3 linked regions of the Lonchura striata genome follow. The protein of the gene in region 1 purifies or fractionates together with the protein of each later gene. This does not show direct contact. Links are inferred from orthologs where the notes say so. Each region holds a gene or a part of one and is shown in the gene's direction. Other genes may lie near its edges.

Region 1 (7,902 bases):
CGTGGTTAATTAACAAATAGGCGTGGCCTAAATCTCTGACCACACCTACAAACACTTCTGTCCCGCCCCTCATTTGCATATTCATAATTAAAAGTTTTATTCTTAATTGCGTGTGGTTGGCTGGGAGTGGGCGTGGTAAAAAAATCGGGAATTTGGGGGAGCAATATGTGAATTTTGAGGCGAAAAATTGGGAATTTCGGGGTAAAATTTGGGAATTTAGGGCTAAAAATTGGGAATTTTGAGGTAAAAAAGGGAATTTTCAACCCGAAAATTTGGAATTTTCGACCCAAAAATTGGGAATTTTTGCCCCAAAAATTGGGAATTTTCCCTTTTCCCGCCCGTTCCCGTCTCCTCGCAATTCGGAATTTAGGGGGGGGAATGGAATTTTTGGGGAAAAAGTGGGAAATTTGGGGGAAAACATGGGGAATTTCGTGCAAAAACCTGTAGTTTTTTGGGGAAAAAATGGTAATTTGGCACAAAAAATGGAATTTTGATGTAAAAATTGGGAATTTGGCAGAAAAAGTTGGGAATTTTGAGGTGAAAATGGGAATTTGGGGGGGAAATGGTATTTTGGGGGAAAAATCTGAATTTTGGGGGGAAAATGGGAATTCTGAGGTTAAAAATTGGAATTTTGGGGGCGAAAAGTGAATTTTTGGGGTAAATTGTGAATTTGGGGGGAAAATTGGGAATTTTGAGGTGAAAAAATTGAATTTTGGGGTAAAAAAGGGAATTTTTTACCTGAAAATTGGGGATTTGTCTCCTCAGAGCCATTTCCCGCTCTTGTCGGTCTCCACGGCAATTGGGAATTTGGGGAGAAAAATGGGAATTTTGGGGGGAAATTGGGAATTTGGGGCAAAATTTGGGAATTTTGAGGTGAAAAAATTGAACTTTGGGGTAAAAAAGGGAATTTTTTACCTGATAATTGGGAATTTGTCTCCTCACAACCGTTTCCCGCCCTTTTCGGTCTCCATAGCAATTGGGAATTTGGGGAGAAAAATGGGAATTTTTTGGGGAAAAAATGGTATTTTGAGGTAAAAAATTGGAGTTTTGGGTGGAAATTGGGAATTTTGAGGTGAAAAAATTGAACTTTGGGGTAAAAAAAGGGAATTTTTTACCTGAAAATTGGACGTTTTTCTCCTCACAGCTGTTTCCCGCCCTTTTTGGTCTCCATAGCAATTGGGAATTTGGGGAGAAAAATGGTATTTTGGGGGGAAATTGGGAATTTTGGGGTAAAAAAGGGAATTTTTTACCTGAAAATTGGGAATTTGTCTCCTCACAGCTGTTTTCCCGCCCTTTTCCGTCTCCACGGTAATTGGGAATCTAGGGAGAAAAATGGGAATTTTGGGGTAAAAAATGGGAATTTTGAGGTAAAAAATTGGAGTTTTGGGTGAAATTGGGAATTTTGAGGTGAAAAAATTGAACTTTGGGGTAAAAAAGGGAATTTTTTACCTGGAGATTGGGATTTTTTTCCTCCTCACAGCTGTTTCCTGCCTTTTTTGGTCTCCATAGCAATTGGGAATTTGGGGAGAAAAATGGGAATTTTGAGGTAAAAAATTGGAATTTTGGGAGGAAATCGGGAATTTTGAGGTGAAAAAATTGGAATTTTGGGGTAAAAAAGGAAATTTTTTACCTGAAAATTGGGGTTTTTTTTCTCCCCACAGCAGTTTCCCGCCCTTTTCGGTCTGCATAGCAATTGGGAATCTGGGGAGAAAAATGGGAATTTTGAGGTAAAAAATTAGAATTTTGGGGGGAGATTGGAATTGTGGGGGGAAATTGGGAATTTTGAGGTGAAAAAATTGGAATTTTGGGATAAAAAAGGGAATTTTTTACCTGAAAATTGGGATTTTTTTTTTTTTCCTCCTCTCAGCTGTTTCCCGCCTTTTTTGGTCTCCCTAGCAATTGGGAATTTGAGGAGAAAAATGAGAATTTCTGGGGAAAAAAATGGGAATTTTGGGAGGAAATTGGGAATTTTCAGGTGGAAAAAATTGAACTTTGGGGTAAAAAAGGAAATTTTGGGGTAAAAAAGGGAATTTTTTACCTGAAAATTGGGATTTTTTTTCTCCTCAGCTGTTTTCCCGCCTTTTTTGGTCTCCCTAGCAATTGGGAATTTGGGGAGAAAAATGAGAATTTTGGGGGAAAAAATGGAGTTTTGGGGGGAAATTGGGAATTTTGAGGTGAAAAAAATTGGAACTTTGGTGTAAAAAAGGGAATTTTGGCGTAAAAAAGGGAATTTTTTACCTGAAAATTGGGATTTTTTTTCTCCTCAGCTGTTTTCCCGCCTTTTTTGGTCTCCATAGCAATTGGGAATTTGAGGAGAAAAATGAGAATTTCTGGGGGAAAAAATGGGAATTTTGGGAGGAAATTGGGAATTTTCAGGTGAAAAAATTGAACTTTGGGGTAAAAAAGGGAATTTTGGGGTAAAAAAGGGAATTTTTTACCTGAAAATTGGGATTTTTTTTCTCCTCAGCTGTTTTCCCGCCTTTTTTGGTCTCCCTAGCAATTGGGAATTTGAGGAGAAAAATGGGAATTTCTGGGGGAAAAAATGGGAATTTTGGGAGGAAATTTGGAGTTTTGGGTGAAATTGGGAATTTTGAGGTGAAAAAATTGAACTTTGGGGTAAAAAAGGGAATTTTTTACCTGGAGATTGGGATTTTTTTCCTCCTCACAGCTGTTTCCTGCCTTTTTTGGTCTCCATAGCAATTGGGAATTTGGGGAGAAAAATGGGAATTTTGAGGTAAAAAATTGGAATTTTGGGGTGAAATTGGGAATTTTGAGGTGAAAAATTTGAACTTTGGGGTAAAAAACGGAATTTTTTACCTGAAAATTGGGATTTTTTTTCTCCTCAGCTGTTTTCCCGCCTTTTTTGGTCTCCCTAGCAATTGGGAATCTGGGGAGAAAAATGGGAATTTTGGGGGAAAAAATGGGAATTTTGAGGTAAAAATTTGGAGTTTTGGGGGGAAATTGGAATTTTGAGGGGAAATTGGGAATTTTGGGGTGAAACAATTGGAATTTTGGGGTAAAAAAGGAAATTTTTTACCTGAAAATTGGGATTTTTTTCTCCCCACAGCCGTTTTCCCGCCCTTTTCGGTCTCCATAGCAATTGGGAATTTGGGGAGAAAAATGGGAACTTTGAGGTAAAAAATTGGAATTTTGAGGGCAGATTGGAATTTTGAGGTGAAAAATTTGAACTTTGGGGTAAAAAAGGGAATTTTTTACCTGAAAATTGGGATTTTTTTTCTCCTCAGCTGTTTTCCCGCCTTTTTTGGTCTCCCTAGCAATTGGGAATCTGGGGAGAAAAATGGGAATTTTGGGGGAAAAAATGGGAATTTTGAGGTAAAAATTTGGAGTTTTGGGGGGAAATTGGAATTTTGAGGGGAAATTGGGAATTTTGGGGTGAAAAAATTGGAATTTTGGGGTAAAAAAGGAAATTTTTTACCTGAAAATTGGGGGTTTTTTTTCTCCCCACAGCAGTTTCCCGCCCTTTTCGGTCTCCATAGCAATTAGGAATCTGGGGAGAAAAATGGGAACTTTGAGGTAAAAAAAAATGGAGTTTTGGGGGGAAATTGGGAATTTTGAGGTGAAAAAATTGGAACTTTGGGGTAAAAAAGGGAATTTTGGGGTAAAAAAGGAAATTTTTTACCTGAAAATTGGGATTTTTTTTCTCCTCAGCTGTTTTCCCGCCTTTTTTGGTCTCCCTAGCAATTGGGAATTTGGGGAGAAAAATGAGAATTTTGGGGGAAAAAATGGAGTTTTGGGGGGAAATTGGGAATTTTGAGGTGAAAAAAATTGGAACTTTGGTGTAAAAAAGGGAATTTTGGCGTAAAAAAGGGAATTTTTTACCTGAAAATTGGGATTTTTTTTCTCCTCAGCTGTTTTCCCGCCTTTTTTGGTCTCCATAGCAATTGGGAATTTGAGGAGAAAAATGAGAATTTCTGGGGGAAAAAATGGGAATTTTGGGAGGAAATTGGGAATTTTCAGGTGAAAAAATTGAACTTTGGGGTAAAAAAGGGAATTTTGGGGTAAAAAAGGGAATTTTTTACCTGAAAATTGGGATTTTTTTTCTCCTCAGCTGTTTTCCCGCCTTTTTTGGTCTCCCTAGCAATTGGGAATTTGAGGAGAAAAATGGGAATTTCTGGGGGAAAAAATGGGAATTTTGGGAGGAAATTTGGAGTTTTGGGTGAAATTGGGAATTTTGAGGTGAAAAAATTGAACTTTGGGGTAAAAAAGGGAATTTTTTACCTGGAGATTGGGATTTTTTTCCTCCTCACAGCTGTTTCCTGCCTTTTTTGGTCTCCATAGCAATTGGGAATTTGGGGAGAAAAATGGGAATTTTGAGGTAAAAAATTGGAATTTTGGGGGCAGATTGGAATTTTGGGAGGAAATTGGGAATTTTGAGGTGAAAAAATGGAGTTTTGGGGGAAAATTGGGAATTTTGAGGTGAAAAAATTGGAATTTTGGGGTAAAAAAGGGAATTTTGGGGTAAAAAAGGGAATTTTTTACCTGAAAATTGGGATTTTTTTTCTCCTCAGCTGTTTTCCCGCCTTTTTTGGTCTCCATAGCAATTGGGAATTTGAGGAGAAAAATGGGAATTTCTGGGGGAAAAAATGGGAATTTTGGGAGGAAATTGGGAATTTTCAGGTGGAAAAAATTGAACTTTGGGGTAAAAAAGGGAATTTTGGCGTAAAAAGGGGGTTTTTTTACCTAAAAATTGGGTTGTTTTTTTTCTCCCCGCAGCCGTTTTCCCGCCCTTTTCGGTCTCCCTAGCAACCGTTTTCCCGCCTTTTCTGTCCCCTGGCAACGCCTCACTTCCGGCTCTCACTTCCGGCCCTCACTTCCGGCTCTCCCCAAGATGGCGGCGGCCGGGCCGGGCCCGCTCCCGGAGGCTCCGGGCGGCTCCGGGCCGGCCCCGGGCGGGCCCCGAGCGGCCCCGGAGGGTCCCGGGGGCGGCTCCGGGAGCGGGGCCGGGAGCGGGGCCGGGAGCGGGGCCGGGAGCGGCGGCGGAGGCGGGAGGGGCCCGGCGGGAGCGGCGCGGGACGCGGAGGTGGCGGTGGAGATCGGGGAGACGTACCTGTGCCGCAGGGCGGACGGCAGCTGGCGTGAGTGGGGGGTACTGGGGTGTACTGGTTTGTACTGGGGTGTACTGGGTTATACTGGTTTGTACTGGGGTGTACTGGGTTATACTGGGGTATACTGGGGTGTACTGGGTTATACTGGGGTGTACTGGTTTGTACTGGGGTGTACTGGTTTGTACTGGGGTGTACTGGTTTGTACTGGGGTGTACTGGGGGGGAACGGGGGGAATGGGGTGTACTGGGTCCTACTGGTTTGTACTGGGGTGTACTGGGTTATACTGGGGTGTACTGGTTTGTACTGGGTTATACTGGGGTGTACTGGGTTATACTGGGGTGTACTGGTTTGTACTGGGTTATACTGGGGTGTACTGGGTTATACTGGGGTGTACTGGTTTGTACTGGGGTGTACTGGGTTATACTGGGTTGTACTGGGGTGTACTGGTTTGTGCTGGTTTATATTGGGGTGTACTGGGTTATACTGGGTTGTACTGGGGTGTACTGGTTTGAACCGGGATGTACTGGGTTATACTGGGTTGTACTCCATTATACTGGGTTATACTGGGTTGTACTGGTTTATACTGGGGTGTACTGGGTTGTACTGCATTATACTGGGTTATACTGGGTTGTACTGGTTTATATTGGGAGTGTTGGGAATGGAAAGGAGGGGAAGTTTGTTCCAGTTTGTCCCAGTCCCTCCCAGTTTGTTCCAGCCCCATTCCCAGTTTGTCCCAGTCCCTCCCAGTTAATCCCAGTTTGTTCCAGGCCCATTCCCAGTCTGTCCCAGTCCCTCCCAGTTAATCCCAGTTTGTTCCAGGCCCATTCCCAGTCTGTCCCAGTCCTTCCCAGTCCCTCCCAGTTAATTCCAGTTTGTTCCAGCCCCATTCCCAGTCTGTCCCAGTCCCTCCCAGTTCATCCCAGTTCGTTCCAGACTCGGCCGAGGTGATCCAGTCCCATTCCCAGTTTGTCCCAGTCCCTCCCAGTTCATCCCAGTTCATCCCAGTTTGTTCCAGACTCGGCCGAGGTGATCCAGTCCCGCCTGAACGAGCAGGAGGCGCGCGAGGAGTTCTACGTGCACTACGTGGGCTGTGAGTGAACTGGGCAAACTGGGACAAACTGGGAGGCACTGGGAGGGGGCTGGGATGGACTGGGAGGGACTGGGATGGGACTGGGAGGGACTGGGATGGAACTAGGAGGGGCTGGAATGAACTGGGACAAACTGGGATGGACTGGAAGGGGATTGGGAATGGGACTGGAACAAACTGGGAGGCACTGGGATGAACTGGGAGCCACTGGGATGGAACTGGGAGGGACTGGGAATGGACTGGAAGCACTGTGAGGGAACTGGAATGAACTGGGAGGGACTGGGACAAACTGGGAGCCACTGGGATGGAACTGGGAGGGACTGGGAATGAACTGGGAGCCACTGGGACAGAACTGGAACAAACTGGGAGGGGATTGGGAGGCACTGGGATGGAACTGGGAGGGACTGGGACAAACTGGGCTGAACTGGGAGCCACTGGAATGGAACTGGGACAAACTGGGAGGGAACTGGGATGGAACTGGGAGCTACTGGGACGGAACTGGGAGAGACTGGGATGAACTGGGAGGGCTCCCAGTGCTCCCAGTTCAATGCACACCATGGGGATTTAATGGCTCTGGGATGGATGGGCTGAACTGGGAGGGACTGGGATGAACTGGGCGGGCTCCCAGTGCTCCCAGTAAGGCCCAGTGCTCCCAGTTAACCCCATACTGGGGGGATTGGGACACACTGGGATGAACTGGGATGGCTCCCAGTGCTCCCAGTTCAATGCACCCAATGGGGATTTAATGGCTCTGGGATGGACGGGCTGAACTGGGCTGAACTGGGAGGGCTCCCAGTGCTCCCAGTAAGTCCCAGTGCTCCCAGTTAACCGGCGGCTGGACGAGTGGGTGGACCGGAACCAACTGGGGATGGCTCCCAGTGCTCCCAGTTCAATGCACACCATGGGGATTTCTTGGGTAGGGAATGGACGGGCTGAACTGGGATGACCTGGGCTGAACTGGGAGGGCTCCCAGTGCTCCCAGTAAGTCCCAGTGCTCCCAGTTAACCGGCGGCTGGACGAGTGGGTGGACCGGAACCGGCTGGGGATGGTTCCCAGTACTCCCAGTACTCCCAGTTCAATGCACACCATGGGGATTTAATGGCTCTGGGATGGATGGGCTGAACTGGGAGGGACTGGGCTGAACTGGGAGGGCTCCCAGTGCTCCCAGTGCTCCCAGTAAGTCCCAGTGCTCCCAGTTAACCCCAAACTGGGGGGATTTGAAGGCCCTGGGCTAACTGGGATGTCTGGGGATGGCTCCCAGTGCTCCCAGTATGGGGGGATTTCAAGGCCGTGGGATGGGTAGGGATGGACGGGCCAAACTGGGCTGAACTGGGAGGGCTCCCAGTGCTCCCAGTAAGTCCCAGTGCTCCCAGTTAACCGGCGGCTGGACGAGTGGGTGGACCGGAACCGGCTGGGGATGGCTCCCAGTGCTCCCAGTGCTCCCAGTTCAATGCACCCAATGGGGATTTGATGGGTAGGGAATGGATGGGATGAACTGGGCTGAACTGGGCAGGCTCCCAGTGCTCCCAGTAAGTCCCAGTGCTCCCAGTTAACCGGCGGCTGGACGAGTGGGTGGACCGGAACCAGCTGGGGATGGTTCCCAGTGCTCCCAGTGCTCCCAGTTCAATGCACACCATGGGGATTTCATGGGTAGGGAATGGATGGGATGAACTGGGATGAACTGGGCTGAACTGGGCGGGCTCCCAGCGCTCCCAGTAAGTCCCAGTGCTCCCAGTTAACTGGCGGCTG
Region 2 (7,580 bases), on another chromosome or scaffold:
CTTAATGTGGCTTTGGCAGCTTTTGGGAATCCAGTTGGTTCCAAGGAGTTCCTCCGTCCCGTCTGGCCGCTGAACTCAGCGGGGTGCTGCCCGGATTGAGGATAGGGAACCCCCTGGATACCCCCAAACCGGATCATCTCAGGGGTCACCAAGATTGTTAATAAATGGAAATTTATTCAGCCAAATTAAAAATAAAAATAGTTTTATTAGCAGTCAAATTCTATCTAGCCAGCCATGGAAAAAACAGTGCCGAGCCTGGGATCGATGCTGGGTGTGCAACAAGGAGTCAGCCTCAGGAGAGGTTTTCCCCTATGCCCACACACCTCCATCCTGGCACAAGTGGTTTTTTATAGGGAAAATTCCACCTAAGGCCAAGATTTCGGCAATCAGTCTTTTCTTCAATTCAGAGTCCATAGGTTGATGAGATTTTCTTTTTTGGTGATGAGAAGAACAATTCAGTGTCTGGAGTTGTTGAATCCCTTGATGAAATTTACGGGAACACTGCATTCACATGGATCTGCCCAAGGATTTCCATGATATCCATCTCGGGTTGTTCACGTGATAATCAGCACCTGGGCATCCCATATCTTTCCAGACATGGCCCATCTCCTGGCCGAGCCACATCCTTTTACGTGTAAATCGGGTTTCAACATACACCAGATTTTGCCTGCGAGGGTGGGGGGGGGCTTCTAGTACAAACGAGTATAATCTAACAAGTATCCAATATTACATATTTCATACAAGGAATGGAACAAATTATGTTTTCTACACATAACATAGATAAGAATTGATCCAGCCAAATTAAAAATGAAAAATAAAAATCTTATTTTATATCTAATTCTCTCTGAGCCAGCCACAGGGAAAAGGACAGTGCCAAACTGGTGCTGGGTGTATGACAGGAAGGACGCCTCTTGGCAGAGGTTCCCCTGGACACCCACACCACCCTCTTGGACCAAGCAGTTCTTATAGGAAATTTTCCACCTGAGGCCAGGATTTTAGCAATCTGCCTTTTCTTCCCATTCAAAGTCCCACATGTTTATAAAGTTTCTTTTCTCTCTGTTGAGGTTGAACAATCCAAGTCCAGGTGTGGACAATTTTCCTTGATGGAGTTACAGGAACGTGGCTTTCAGATGTATCAGCCCGGAGGACTCCAGCGATCCCAATATAGGGTCGTTACTGGGATGATCAATGCCTAGGTGTTCCAGTATCGCCCCAAGGAACAATCCATCTCCAGGCGAGCCAGAAGTATTAAACTGTAAATGAGACTTCGGTTTTTGGTGTAACAGATATGTGTGGGGGGTGGTGGGTAGGTTGTAGCTCTTGGTGCTGGCGTGTGTGCTGGCAACAACAAAATATTACACATATAAAGTTATATTTCCATGGACCAAATATAACAATGTTACATTGGCACAAATTATAGTCAACATATATGTCAATTTTTTCTGCATTTTTTTTCTCTTCTAGACACCTGCCATATTAAGACCACTTCTGAGATTTCCAGGTTAAAATGTAAATCTAGACTGAAAACTGTATTTTCAACCTTTTTTTTTCTTCCTGTTGCAGTATTTTTAGCAGGACACTCTGCTTCCACAGATTCCCAGCACATAGTTCACAGGCTCTGTCAGAAAAGCACTACTGCTGTACAGTGATGGGGACACTCTAGTTTAAACTATCCTGTGTGTTCTCTGGGTCCTGCAATGCTTGTGACACTGGGCTGAGGCTGATGTCAAAGAAGCAGCCAGATTTGTGTAGCAACAGCAGTTCCCACAGCTGGGGGAGGAGGAAGACAGAAGGGAAAAGCACTTGGGCCATGTTGTGTCTTCCTCCAAAGCCCACAAGCACCTGGCACTATGTGGACACCTTGGCCACAGCAGTTACTCTTTCAATCACAAAACCTGATGGGCAGCAACCCTCTGCTGGTCTGTGGCCTCTGAGCAGAATTTCAAGGATTATCCCAGGAAACCTACCTGAACCAGGGAGAATTTGTGCACCCACAGTGAACCACTGTAATATTTGACATTAAGAATTACAGCATACATAGATTTTTGTTCTTCTGTGTCAATCTGGTTTGGGCTTTAACCCAGCATGAAACTATCAAAAAAAGAAAATGAAATTGTTATAGATGAATAATGAGATGATTTGCTCTCGCAATTAAGGGATGACTATTGTGTGAATATTAAGAAAAGCTTTAATGATGTATAGTGTTGCATTGTGTTATTGAGTTTGTTCAATTTGTGAAGTGGTTTAGTCTTGCACCCCCATGTAAGTTGTCCTGCCTTCCCTTGCCTCCTCCCATCCCTATGCCAATCCTCCTTTCCCTCCTCCCCTGAAAGGTAACCCTTCTGAAGAGCCCGCCCCTGGACCCATCCATCACTCAGCAGCCCTTCCTTTCTTTCTAGAAGGTTCCACGTGGGACGTGGAGTGATAGGCCTGACAGCCAGGTCTCCTCCTACCCTCCTTTCCCATTGGTGTTCTTTCATGTTTGTCACCCTGATTTCCGCAGCCCTGTTTGATCTCATTGGCCCACTGTAGGGCCATCCTCTGGTTACCACCCACTGTTATAAACCTGTGTGAGAGGCTGCACGCTGCTCTTGCAGGCTGTCTACCCTCTGACTTAGGAAGCTCTTCTGAGCTGCCAAATAAAGTTGGGTTACAAACCCCTGCATGAGACGACTCCTTGCCTTTGTCGTCACCGCCAAGGTCTCCCTGGGGTTCAGGAATTTGCCGTCCTTACGTCCCAAGGTTTGGGAAGGTGGCCCGTGCTGACCTCGCTGTCCAGCTGAGCCAGGCACACATTTCCAGGGCAGATACTGCAGCAGTATAGTTATGTTATTGTAGTTTAGATGTTGTGAAAAAAGCATATTTATGATTGGCTTTTAGCAAATGTTACAATGAATATTGTATGTGTAATGTTAGAAAGTTATGCTGTATTAATTCTCTTACGTATTAAGTGTAGTTTTAGGTTACAACATAATGTTAAAATAGAGACTATGTATGTGGGGGGGAGTTTTCTTTTTAGGAATGAGATACTTGCTTCGAGGAGCACCTAAATCTTCCAAAGGAGAGGAATTTATGGCTTCTTATCAGAAGAAGCTAATTTCTTCAGGCCTTGCTCAGACTTGAAGATGCCAGGGGATTAAAGGGAACAGTTGACATACAACAGACAGAGTTTCTTGTTTAGAATAGAATGTATGCATAACCATAAAAGATGTATGAATATGCAACAAGTGTATTGTTTTAAGGGTGATTCCTTTGTTCACAAGTCATGCTTTTCGTGACTTAGTGTCTGAGAGCATCCGGATGTCCATAATTCTTTGCTTTTTATTGTCTTGTAATTGTCCTAACTCTAAACTTTATTACTCTAATTGTATTATTATTTTTATAACCATTTTATTAGTATTAAACTTTAAAAATTTTAAAAACCAAGTGATTGGTGTTTTTCACAGAAGTCCTCTGTTCTCCCCATAGTTCCCTTTTCCCCCCTCTGTAATGTTGCCATCAGACAGCCTGGGTTGTTTAGGTCAGGTAAAAAGAAGGCGTGCACATCTGCCTGTTCCATGAGGCAGCTGGGAATGGAAAAGCTTGTTGCTTAGGGGGTGCGGCATGGCAACACCTGACCTCCAATCCAGTTACAAGAAAGCAATCTCCGCCATCAAACGGCAAAGAAAAGCTGTCTGACAGACTTGGGGAGGGACCGGGGTTGGCTGATGCAAACCCCCTCCCAGGAGTATAAAAGACCTAGCATCCATCTTGAAGATGAACCAGCCATGTGGTACTCTTGAGGGCTATTCTCAGCGCTGTGAAGTTTTCCTTATGTAGACCTTTTGTTTTATTCCTGTTAAGGTTTAATATACCTTTTAAATTTTCAAAGTGAACAGTTGTTTTTCACAAAATTAATTTACCCCTGAATAATTCTGTTATTCACAGCAGACCCCAGTCTTCTGGCTGTACCAGAAGGTGAACACGACTGAGGGACAGTGACGACCCCCTCGGATAAGCACCCACCCGCTTCCCGGCACATGGGGCACCAGCGGAGGGAACCGAGCCTAGCCGGCGGTGGCTGCGACAGCCGCGGGCGAGTGTGTGCAGGAGCGCCCGCATCCCGACACCCGCCTCAAGGGGTCAGGCCGCCAACTCTCGCCAGTATTTCACCGTCGTGCCACCGCAGCACTCGGGCTGCCTGCAGAGCACGATGGCAGCGCCGCGCTGCGGGCCGAGCTCCCCGCGCTGCGGGCCGAGCTCCCCGCGCTGCGGGCCGAGCTCCCCGCGCTGCGGGCCGAGCTCCCCGCGCTGCGGGCCGAGCTCCCCGCGCTGCGGGCCGAGCTCCCCGCGCTGCGGGCCGAGCTCCCCGCGCTGCGGGCCGAGCTCCCCGCGCTGCGGGCCGAGCTCCCCGCGCTGCGGGCCGAGCTCCCCGCGCTGCGGGCCGAGCTCCCCTGGCAGCACCGCCCGCCCGGGGCCGCTCCCCTCAGGGTCTCTCGCCGGGGCCGCCAGGCCCCGCCCCCTGCGCGCGCCCTCTGGCCGGAGTGGGCGGGCCTCTCGCGGCCCCCGCCCCCAGCGGCGCCGCATCGCGGCGGCCATTTTGTGCGGCTGCGGTTGGTGGCGCGGGGCTTGGCGCGCCGCGGGCCCGGGCGGGGTGGCTCCATTCTAACCCCTTTTTCCCGTACAGATCCCTCGGTAAGAGCGCGGCGGCGCCCGGGCAGGCCGGGCTGCCTGCCCAGTCCCGCGCTGCGAGCCCGCGGCTCGGCGGGGAGATGCGGGGAGGGAGGCCGGGCGGGCGCGTCACCGCTCACAAAGGGCCGGGCCGGGCCGGGCCGGGCGGCGCCTCCCGCCTCGGGGCGCCGAGCGGGGCCGCTCGTGCCTCGCTGCGGCCCGGCGCGCTGAGGCCCGCGGCTCGGGCCGGCCTCGGCCGCTCCCCCGTCCGTGGCTCCCCCTCGCCGCCCGCGCACGCCGAGCTGCGCGGGCAGGTGAGTCTGTGCGGGCCGAACGCAGTCGCCACGGGCCCGTCCGGCGGGGACGGCCGAGTGACCTTGCGGCGGTACCGGGGCCCGAGCCGGGGCACGGGCCGCAGGGCGGGGGCAGTGCCGGGGCCCGAGGCGGGGATTTGACGGGTCCGGGGCTGTGTCCGGCGAGCCGGGTGCGGCGGCGAGCAGGGCCCGGCGGGTCTGGATTCCGGGGTGCTTGGCGAGGCGGCTGTGCGTGACCCGGGAGTGGGGAACCCGCGCAGAGCAGGTACTTGCCCTGCTGATGTGCCGCGTGGCTTCCGTACCGGCGGCTGGAGGCTGGAGGCTTCTGTTCCTTTTCTGTCCCATTAGATGTAGAGCATTTCTTTATCGCGCTGCATTCTGTTCCTTTAAACCATTTAAAAGAACAGAAATTGCGGTGGATATTTTCACTAAACCCAAAGCTGCCTCATGTCATACCTGTGTATTGCGTACGGTTAGGAGACACTGTGGTGTTCTTCCTAGCAGGTCTGTGTTCAGATACGGCTTTTTGCCAGCAAAGTGGATTTTTGTACCAGTTGGTAATCTGTAGCCATTCCGGGATTTAGTTAATCTAAACAGGTACAGTTTTGACAGACCGTTTTATGTCTTTTATTGACTAACAATCAAAGATGTTTCTGTGGACCCAGGCTGTTTCTACCCTAAATACTTAAAAATAAGTCAGGAGAGATACCTGAAATTTTATGAGTCCAAGTTAAGTAAAATAAATATCACTAGGCTACAGAATTTTGTTGTGTTGTATGCAGTAGGGAATTAAATGAAATGCTAAAGCAATAGTGACTTGAATTAACCTTTTGCAAGTGTCTGTACAGCAGTTAGTAATGGACCATCTCTGCAACTAATGCTTTTGACCTGGGTTCATTTAATTTTCTATAATGAGTAAGGATCCTTTCACAGAACCAGTTTCTAAAAGAAGTCAAGCAAAAAGACTTAAGCAAAGATGAGTCATAGTATAATCCTCTCTTTTAGTTTTTGTGTGACTTCTAAACTTTCATAGTAATAAAGGAACGTGAATTAGATGATTGCATGTTTTTTGAGCTAAGTCAGCTTGTGAAGTAGTTCAGTAGTTTACGCTCTTGCTGACAACTTCGTGGATGTTTCCTCAATAGAAATAAAATTTTACTTGAGCAGGCTGAGAGTAAAATCTGTCTGCCTGTAATTTTAAGGTCAAGTTGGGAATGAGGCTGGAGTATTAATTCCTCTAACTGTCCTACCTTGTCTGAAATGTAAAAAGCATGTAATTGATTCATACCTTTAATTGGCAAAGCTCTCTGTACTACTTGTTATTGCCCTTACAGTTTCTGCATGACCAGGCAATGATATTGACTTAAATTCTCCCTCTTGGCCAGGAAAGGAAAACACAACCCCTAATTTAATAGTAGAGGATGATGAATTCTCTGTAACCGCACATTTTATTTATAACTGCATGTGCAGAAGATAGGTATTGTCTGTAGCTGTAATTCAACAGGCTGACACTAGCTCTCCTGCCTGCGTGTTACTGTCCTGTCCACATGTGAGCACTTGCATTGTGAACTGAGCTAAAGAATGTACATGGGACAGGGGAAGGATTTATTGCTCAGTCCTACAAGGAGTTGTTGTCTATACAGTGTTAAAACTGTACTCTTGATATTTGTCTAGTTGAATAGATACAGTAGGGTAATTTACCTTTTAAGTAAAAAGAACAGTCCTTTGGACTGGTGCATCATACAGAGAAGTCTTGTGAAGTGCTAATGAGTTCATTGTATGTCTGAGTAAATCATTCTTTCTTTTGCTTCAATGAATTCCTTGTCTTCATACTTCATACTTTTGCTTGCCTACAGGTTTGTTTTGCTTGTACTTCCTGCAGGAAAATACTTTCTTCAGGTGAAAAATGGTGGCTTGGATCTCTTGGTTTGTCCTTGCTGTCCCAATACCAATAGCTGCATGGCCTATATATTTCTGAAGACCTTTCAGAACTACTGGCATTCCAGTATTTTTGTGACTGCAAACATCAGGCTTAAATGATTATGCATGCATGGGTGTATACTGTGTCTGTGGTCACTGGCTGAGGATAATAATGCATGTTGGAATATAAGCACACATTTCGGAAGCATGTTAGTTTGTTGACATGTCTGTGTGTCTTTTTACTGGACTGGAGAACTTTCAACCAGCCTTATTTAAGTGTAGGCAGCTACAGTCAGCCTTATTTTTTCATAAATCTACCTGAAATTGAGTTCTTAGTTAAAAGGAAATTGATTAGAAAAGAAAACGTGTCTTTAGCTTGGTAGCCTGTATTAATGAAAAGAGAGAAAGCGTGATTGCTTATTGTGCGGGGGTTTTTTTTGTTTGTTTTGTGGGCTTGATTGTTTGGTTTGGTTTTGTTTGGTTGTTTTGGGTTTTTTAATATGAAGTTAGCACGAAAGAGCTTTCCTGATCTTGTTGCTAATGTTAAAATACTAGTTTCAGAATTGACTCACTTTTCTACTGCTTAAATTCAGTACTTCTTTCCCAAGGAATTGGAGAATATCCTCTTCTTCCACAGTGTTGTTGAGTAAGGAAACTATCTTCCACACCTCTGTGCTCCATATGCAGAGGTGAGCA
Region 3 (7,469 bases), on another chromosome or scaffold:
TCCTCAGAGACAAAACTAAATATCAGATATGATTTTGTGCTAAAAGAATATAAAAAATGTCTTGACCTAAATTGCTCCTTGCTGGCTTTATGGTGGAATAGTGTAGCTGAAACAGGGTCCTGGGCCATGGGCAGAGCTAGGGAGGCACTGGGATAGGCAAATCAGGGCCAACAGGGGTGGTGGGTGCCTGTGGGCTACAGCAGGGCAGGGATGGGTATACATGAAATGGCAGCAAAGAAATGGGGACAGTGCCTGGGGCTCCTTATTTTCATAATTGTTTTGACAATAATGCCATGTGCTGCTGGACCACAAGTGGACTTCTGCTGTTCTGAAGTGTGGTAGGAGTCACACATGGAACCTTGCATCAGGTGTCCCTTCCTCTAAGTCTTTAATTTGGCTCCCACCGCCCTGTGTCCCTGTGCTCCTCTGAGCTTGAGGAAATGGGCCTTTGATGGGCTGGTTGCTCCTGGGTTTGTCCTCCTGTGCTCTTTTGTGTGCACAGATGTGCTTTTAGTACATATTAATCAATACAAAGGGCTTGCTGTGCCTCTGCCACCTCCTGCCAGCTTTGCCTCCCTCTCAACAGCCTCTGCAGCGAGGTGATGCTAAGGGTGCCACACACTGCTCTGAGCCCATCCCTCACCATGGCATTACTCAGCCTTCAGTGGTCAAGAGCATCATTCAGTGTACCCATGTACCCAGCTCCATCCTCATGGCCTCTTATCTTCCCCCATTCCCTCTCCTTGGACAGAAGAACCTCCACTTTTCTAATTATCTTAATGCTGCTTATTCATTGCTGCTAAAAGAGAGCTCGTTCCTTACACAACAACCTTCACTATCCTGTACCAAATCCTTTAAATCAAAAATTGCATCAAAACTACACCAAGAGTAGTATGAGATGGAGAATTCAAATGAATGCAATGGCAATTTTACTAAAAAAAAAAGAAATAAAACTTATTTCCTTTCCCTTTCCTTCCCTTCTTTGTTTTCTTATTTTGTTTCCTTTGTTTTTCTTCAAGCCTCCTTCTTTCTTCAGTCTCTTCTGTTTGTCACCACCTTCCAGAAAATGGTAACAAGGGAAAATCTAGGGAGAAAAAAAAAATATCTTAGCAAATAATCTAAAATATTCTACTGAACAGTCTGTCTATAAAGACTCCTCAAGTGGGAGGCAGCCTCCTGGGGACTAAATGAAGCAGATGGATTGACCTTGAACAGCAGCCAAACGCCCACACAGCCACTCGCTCACTCCCCCAGCAGTGGCGTAGGGAAGAGAGAATGGGAAAAACAAAAGTGAGAATCATAGATTCATTGAGGTTGAAAAAGTACTCTGAGACAATTGGGTCCAACATTAACCCAGCACCATTCTGTTCACCACTCACCCATGACCCCCACTGCCACATCCACGTGTTTTTGAACACTTTGAAGACTGGTGATTCCACCACTTCCCTGTGCAGCCTGTTCCAATGCCTGACCACTCTTTCTGTAAAGAATGTTTTCCTAATATCCAATCTAAACATCCCCTGGCACACCTCGAGGCCTTTTCCAAGTCCCATCACTTGTTGCCTAGGGGAGAAGACCAACCCCACCTGGCTACAGTCTCCTCTCAGGGAGTTGTAGAGAGTGATGAGGTCCTCCCTGAGCCTCCTTTTCTCCAGGCTGAACACCCCCAGCTCCCTCAGCTGCTGTTCATCTGATTTCAGACATCAGAAGGGTCTGTGCTCCAGACCCTTCCCCAGCTCCACTGCCACTCTCTGGACACATTCCAGCAGCTCAGTGTATTCTTGCAGTGAGGGGCCCCCAAAACTAAGCATAGGATTCAAGATACAGTCTCACCAGTGCCAAGTACAGAGGGACAATCTAATTCCCTAGTCCTGCTGGCCACACTATTTCTGATACAAACCAGGATGCCATTGATCTCCTTGGCACACTGCTGGCTTGTGTTCAGTCACTGTCAACCAGCACCCCAGAAATGTTTGCAGATCTGCATGATCTAATAATAAATGCAGTTTAATAAACGAAAGCAAAAACCCCTAAACCAAACAACCTAACCCAAAAAACCTCCAAGCAATTCAAAGGCAAGCACTAAGCACTTCCCACCAGCAGACCTATACCACTCCATCTCCCAGCAGTGGTCACCTTGGAAGAAAATGTCCCACCAGTCTTATTCTTCTTCTGTCCCAGATTTTCTTGCTGAGGTCCATGTTTTATGGTATGGAATATACCTTTGGCCAGTTTAGGTCAACTGTGCTAGTTCTGTCCCTCCCAGTCTCTTGCCCACCCCTTACCTACTTACTGGGGAAGATGAGTGGGAAAAAAAATAGTGAGCCCTGACACTGTGGAAATGTTATTCAGCAGCATCCACCACCCTGGTGTGTTATCAACATCACCATCAGTCATTATCCCCGTCCTTGTCCAGTGACACGTGCACAGATGTTGCTCCCTTAGTCTGTGGGGCATCCCCCAAACATCCATACAAATCAAATGAATTAATTTGGCCCTTGACTTGTGCTCCAACCAGTAGCTTTCCACATCAGATGGTTTTGCACAGTGCAACAGGAAACATTAGTAAACTGAGCATATTGCCTTTCACTTTCTGCTATTTATTATACTTTTGGGCTTGAGCCACCTCCTCAGATGATGCTCTGAAATCTCTGCCTCCTGGCTCAATGGTGACCTCTTTCAGCATTCAAGGGCAGTGGGAGTCCTCATCTGAGCCCACTGTGTGATCAGTCCCACCTCCTTATTCCATGAACCTTCAGTTGCATTATGTGTAGAGGTGCCCCGTCCTGTGAACATCTGGTACATCTCAGACCCTTGACACCCTCAGCTGCAGAACCCTAGAGGTCAACCTTGGATCTTTACAGGTTTTCTGCCAGAGGTTCCACGTGAGAACAGAGCATGTTTCTCACAGCTGGTACTCTCTGGACAGGTCCCAGGGCTACCATACAAACTGTCCTGTCTGTCCTGCTGCTGTTTAGTGACCTTGTCTGGACACCAGGTGCCCCCCAAAGCTACTCTGTCACTGCCCTTCCCAAATGGACAGGGGAGAGTAAATGTAACAAAAGGTTTCTAGGGCAAGAGGAGAGGTCATTCCTAAGGATCACTCACCAGTTACCATCAGAGGTAAAACACTGTCACTGATGGCCTGAGCACTGGCCACTGGTGGATCTCAGTTGGCTTTGGCTCTGGTGGACATTGGGGAAGCCTCTGGCAGCTCCTCGCAGAAACTCCCCACTACTAAGGTCTTGCCACACAAACTCAATACACTGAAAAAAGCTCTTAAAGGTCACTTAATGGAAAGGAGTCACAAGCTGACTATGATCCAGAATGTGCAGTTTCCAGAAATACACTATGCCTTTTTATTAATTGGTGGAAACTTGACATTTGTTTTACTGATCACATCCATGGTGATGTGATGATGCTGATCTTGCCATTACAAGCTTGGGAACATCTGTCCTGGAGAAGAAAAGGAAAGACTCCATGAAATTGTTCCCTGAGCACTGGGATGGCAGCAATGCAGGGGCTAAATGCCAGACTTGGCTCATGGTCATTGCCTTTATCATAGGTCTTTCAGGCAGAGCAGAACACAGTGATAAGCAGCACAGCAGTCACCACAAGACTGGGTGTCACAGGGACAGCAGTGGGCTGTTTCACCAGCTGCCAAGCACCCACCCAGCTCTCAGCAGCATGGTGGGGAGGCTGGGATGATTAAAAGCAAGAAAATCAGATGAAGCTGGTTTCATGGGTAAAAAACAAGAGGCAAAGACAGGCCACTGTGAGGCTGCTGCCTGGCCAGGACTGTCCTGTGGCACCTCCAGGACCATCTCAGTGACTGCCCTGAGTCTTTTTCTCCCTATCACAGAATTACAGATCCCAGAGTCACAGAACTGGTCAGGTAGGAAAGGGACAGCAGTGGGTCATTCGGTCCAACCTCCTTGCTCAAGCAGGGCCATTCTAGCACGCATTGCACAGGATTGTGTCCACTTGAATCAGGGGAGAGACTCCACATCTCTTTAGGCAGTATTTCAGGCTAGGGTCACTGCACACAGAAGTTCTTCCTATTCGGCTGAAACTCCCTGTGTATCAGTTTCTGTCCCTTCCCTCTCGTCCTCGTACTTGGCACCACCGAGCAGAGCGTGATCCATCCTCTGGACACCTCCCTGCAGAAACTCCCGGACGAGGTCCCCTCTCCGCCGCCTCTTGTGGGGCTGAAGAGCTGCAACTCCCTCAGCCCTTGTCAGTACGAGAAATGCTCCGGTGCTTTAATTAAACACCTTCCTTTCCCCCCGCTGGACAAGCCCCTTCGCTCCCCGCTATTTGTGCGGCGGGGCTGGCGGTATCTGCCGGGGCTGAGGCGTCGGTGTCGGTGGCGAGGAGATGTGAGGCGGTGCGTGCCGGTGGTGAGGCGATGAGTGCGGTGTGTGCCGGGGCTGAGGCGGTGTGTGCCGGTGGCGAGGCGGTGTGTGCCGATGGTGAGGCGGTGCGTGCCCGGTGTGAGGCGGTGCGTGCCCGGTGTGAGGCGGTGCGTGCCCGGTGTAAGGCGGTGCGTGCCCGGTGTGAGGCGGTGTGCCGGTGGCGAGGCGGTGCGTGCCCGGTGTGAGGCGGTGTGTGCCGGTGGCGAGGCCGTGTGTGCCGTGTGTGCCGTGTGTGCCGTGTGTGCCGTGTGTGCCGTGTGTGCCGGTGGCGAGGCGGTGCCGCTGTCCCCGTGTCCCGCTGCCGCCGTCCCCGGCCGCGGCCGCCGCTCTTTGTCTGGCTCCCCCGCCCCGCGCAGTCACGTGCCGGGGGCGGGGCCGTCGCGCGGCGGTGACGCGCGCGGGGCGCGGGCAGGATGGGGCGGTGAGGGGCGGCCGTGCCGGAGCGCCCGCGGCAGCCGCGCCGGGCCCCGAGCGAGCCGAGCGGGCGGTAAGGGCGGCGGCGCGGGGGAGGCGCGGAGGGAATGCGGAGGGAATGCGGAGGGAGCGCGGGCTACGAGGCGCCGGCGCTCCCGCAAGCCGGCCGGGCCTGGCGGGCGGCGCCCGCGGCTGTGCTGGCGCCGGGCCCCGCCCGCGGCCGGGGGTCCGGCGGGGCCTCCCCCGGAGCGCGGAGCGCTGCGGCCCCGCCGCTCCCGGCCCGCCGCTCCCGGGCCGGCTGCGCTGCGCCCTTGGCGTCTCCGCGCTCCCGGAGGAGCCCCTGGGTGCCGCTCCCCCCGCAGTGCGGGGCTGGGAGGCTCCGACCCCGCGTCCCGGCACTCCCGCTCGGCAAGTGCGCCTGGGCTGGCACAGGGAGCTCCGCCACGGTACTTGCACAAAGAGTTGGTTTTTTTTGGTTTTTTTTTTTTTTATAGTGACTGGGCTACAAAATAAAATTAGAAGCCAGTTGTGGCTGAAACTCATTGCTGTGAGTGCGACTCCAGAGTGCATAGAAATACTCAAGATGGGGTTTTGTTTGTTTCTATTTATGCTAATTTCATCTTACTTGCCCTTTAGGCCATGTTTATCTGTTCTTGGTAAGGTACGTTTTTCTTGGTTTGCGTTTTCTTCACCGGAAGACAGCACACATATTAACTATAGGTAAATTAAAATTTGGCTTAAAAATGATGTGAAGGAATTACATGCTAGTATAGTTTCAGAGATGAGCACTATGGTTTTTTTCTTATTATGTTTTGACTTAAGGTTGATAACATATAGTTTTGAAGGGAAAGAAATCTGAATAAAAGTATGTATGAATGTTTTTTGATGCCTTTTTTTTTTTTTTTTTCCCTGACTGTATTTCTGTAAGGTAAGTAGTTAATACAAACTCAGGATCAAAATTTTGCATCTTTACACCCTCTGGAATATATTTGCTGTCTATGACACCTTTTAAACAACATGATGTGTTTTAATGCTATTTTTTTTCCCTCCTTCAAAGGTGGTGAAAAAGAATATCAAGATGAGTAAAAAGCCTCCAAATCGTCCTGGAATCACATTTGAGATTGGTGCTCGTTTGGAGGCACTGGACTATTTGCAAAAATGGTACGGAAGGCATTGTGTAGTATTTGCTGAGAGCATAATTATTTTGTGTCGTTTGTGTGCTTTGATAACCGATTATAAAAACCAGTGCACCTATTCATTGACAATTTCTACATGTGAACTTTATGAATTTCCACCTATGTCCTTTAAAAGTGTTAGCTTTTAGGAAAATATTATCTCTTCAGAAATCAAGCTAAACTTTTCTACGGGTTTGTGTTTATTTGCTCTTAGTGGCTTGTGCAGGTGTAAGAAGCAAAGAGCCTTTCTGGAGTCTGTGGAATTCAGTGTCATGGACGAGGTGATTGGTGTGTCAATGAGGCAAACTTCATGATCAAAGACTTCTTTTGTCTTCATTTGAAGGCATGCAAGGGGAGTTGTTTTGTATTCAGTTGTCACACTTGACAGGTTTACAAAACTGATTCTAAAAAAAAAAAAAACAAACCCACATCCTGAATTGGAGTTCATGGGATAGGCAGATACAGTTGTGTTTTTATTAAACAGCTGGAGAAATGAAGTGCTTAAAACTGTGACTGCAACCACCCAGGTGTATTGTGAATTCAAAGACTATAAAATAGGAATTGTGGACACAAGGTCTGTGCTGCACAGCATGTGTATTGTGAAAGGAGCTGTTCTGATGAAAAAAATTGCTAGTATAAATTTTATTAAAGCAAGTGGGCTAATTTGATGATGTGTCCTGGCTATGCTAGTTGAATTTGAAAAATCCCTCATTTTAAAGTAGGTGACAGAAGTAGTTGATGCTTCTACTTAGAAGTTTTTTCTTAGCTGCTCTCTGATTTATTAGGGTTAGGAAGTGTAGAGGTGTGTATCTTTTTTTCTGTTGTGTTCCTGGAGAGCTCAGCATGTTCCTGTAAATATCTGATCCTGTTAACTCCAAGTGATGTGAGAGAGAAGTCTGTGTATTATTGATGTCTCTGCTCCAGTGTTATGTGCTCTGTATAAAAAGTTGGGTCAAACTTTTTATTTGTAGAGCTTTGATTTTAATTATAGGAAGAGTGTTTGTCTTAATAAATGGACTCTGAAAGATGTGGTTTATAGAACTATTGTTCTTACCTGTTGCTGTAGACTGGGTTTTCAGCATGCTGATTCTATAACTGAGTGGCAGGATAAGGAAAACGTCCAAAATAGAGCAATAAAACTTTTTACAGCATCTTCTGTGACTAGAGATAGTTGCTTATGTAATCAGGTAACAAAAATTAATATGTAAAAGTAGCATAATAGTATCAAAAAAGTATCACTGACTGTTCAGTGTATAATTTGTGTCAAACCTGCCCAGCTTTTTCCAGGGAAGGGTTGCATGTCAGTGCTGAAGCTCTTGTGTAGGTTTGGATTGTCAGGCATGGCCATGTCACAAGCTCTGCAGCTGAGTTGCTGGGTGTTTTCAGGAAGAATAGAATTTATCCTGAACTTTCTAGGATTGGATTTATTATCTGTACCACCAGGTAGACCCAGGTCAAGTTTAAA

Evidence for each region.
Region 2: the proteins of KAT8 (region 1) and PHF20 purify together in Homo sapiens (affinity purification with mass spectrometry; 3 studies listed by BioGRID and IntAct, counting the BioPlex papers as one, with this or other methods). This does not show direct contact. The link is inferred for Lonchura striata from reciprocal best matches to the Homo sapiens genes KAT8 and PHF20.
Region 3: the proteins of KAT8 (region 1) and PHF20L1 purify together in Homo sapiens (affinity purification with mass spectrometry; 3 studies listed by BioGRID and IntAct, with this or other methods). This does not show direct contact. The link is inferred for Lonchura striata from reciprocal best matches to the Homo sapiens genes KAT8 and PHF20L1.

Annotation. Positions count from the first base shown.
Region 1 is NC_134637.1:460,612-468,513, forward strand, and holds the start of KAT8 (histone acetyltransferase KAT8), read left to right. Parts: upstream 1-4,849; coding exon 4,850-5,096; intron 5,097-6,081; coding exon 6,082-6,156; intron 6,157-7,902.
Region 2 is NC_134619.1:14,713,666-14,721,245, reverse strand, and holds the start of PHF20 (PHD finger protein 20), read left to right. Parts: upstream 1-4,550; 5' UTR 4,551-4,674; intron 4,675-6,820; exon of another isoform or gene 6,821-6,863; intron 6,864-7,492; exon of another isoform or gene 7,493-7,573; intron 7,574-7,580. UniProt on the Homo sapiens protein: Methyllysine-binding protein, component of the MOF histone acetyltransferase protein complex.
Region 3 is NC_134603.1:8,857,106-8,864,574, reverse strand, and holds the start of PHF20L1 (PHD finger protein 20-like protein 1), read left to right. Parts: upstream 1-4,426; 5' UTR 4,427-4,469; coding exon 4,470-4,472; intron 4,473-4,865; exon of another isoform or gene 4,866-4,902; intron 4,903-5,886; coding exon 5,887-5,990; intron 5,991-7,469.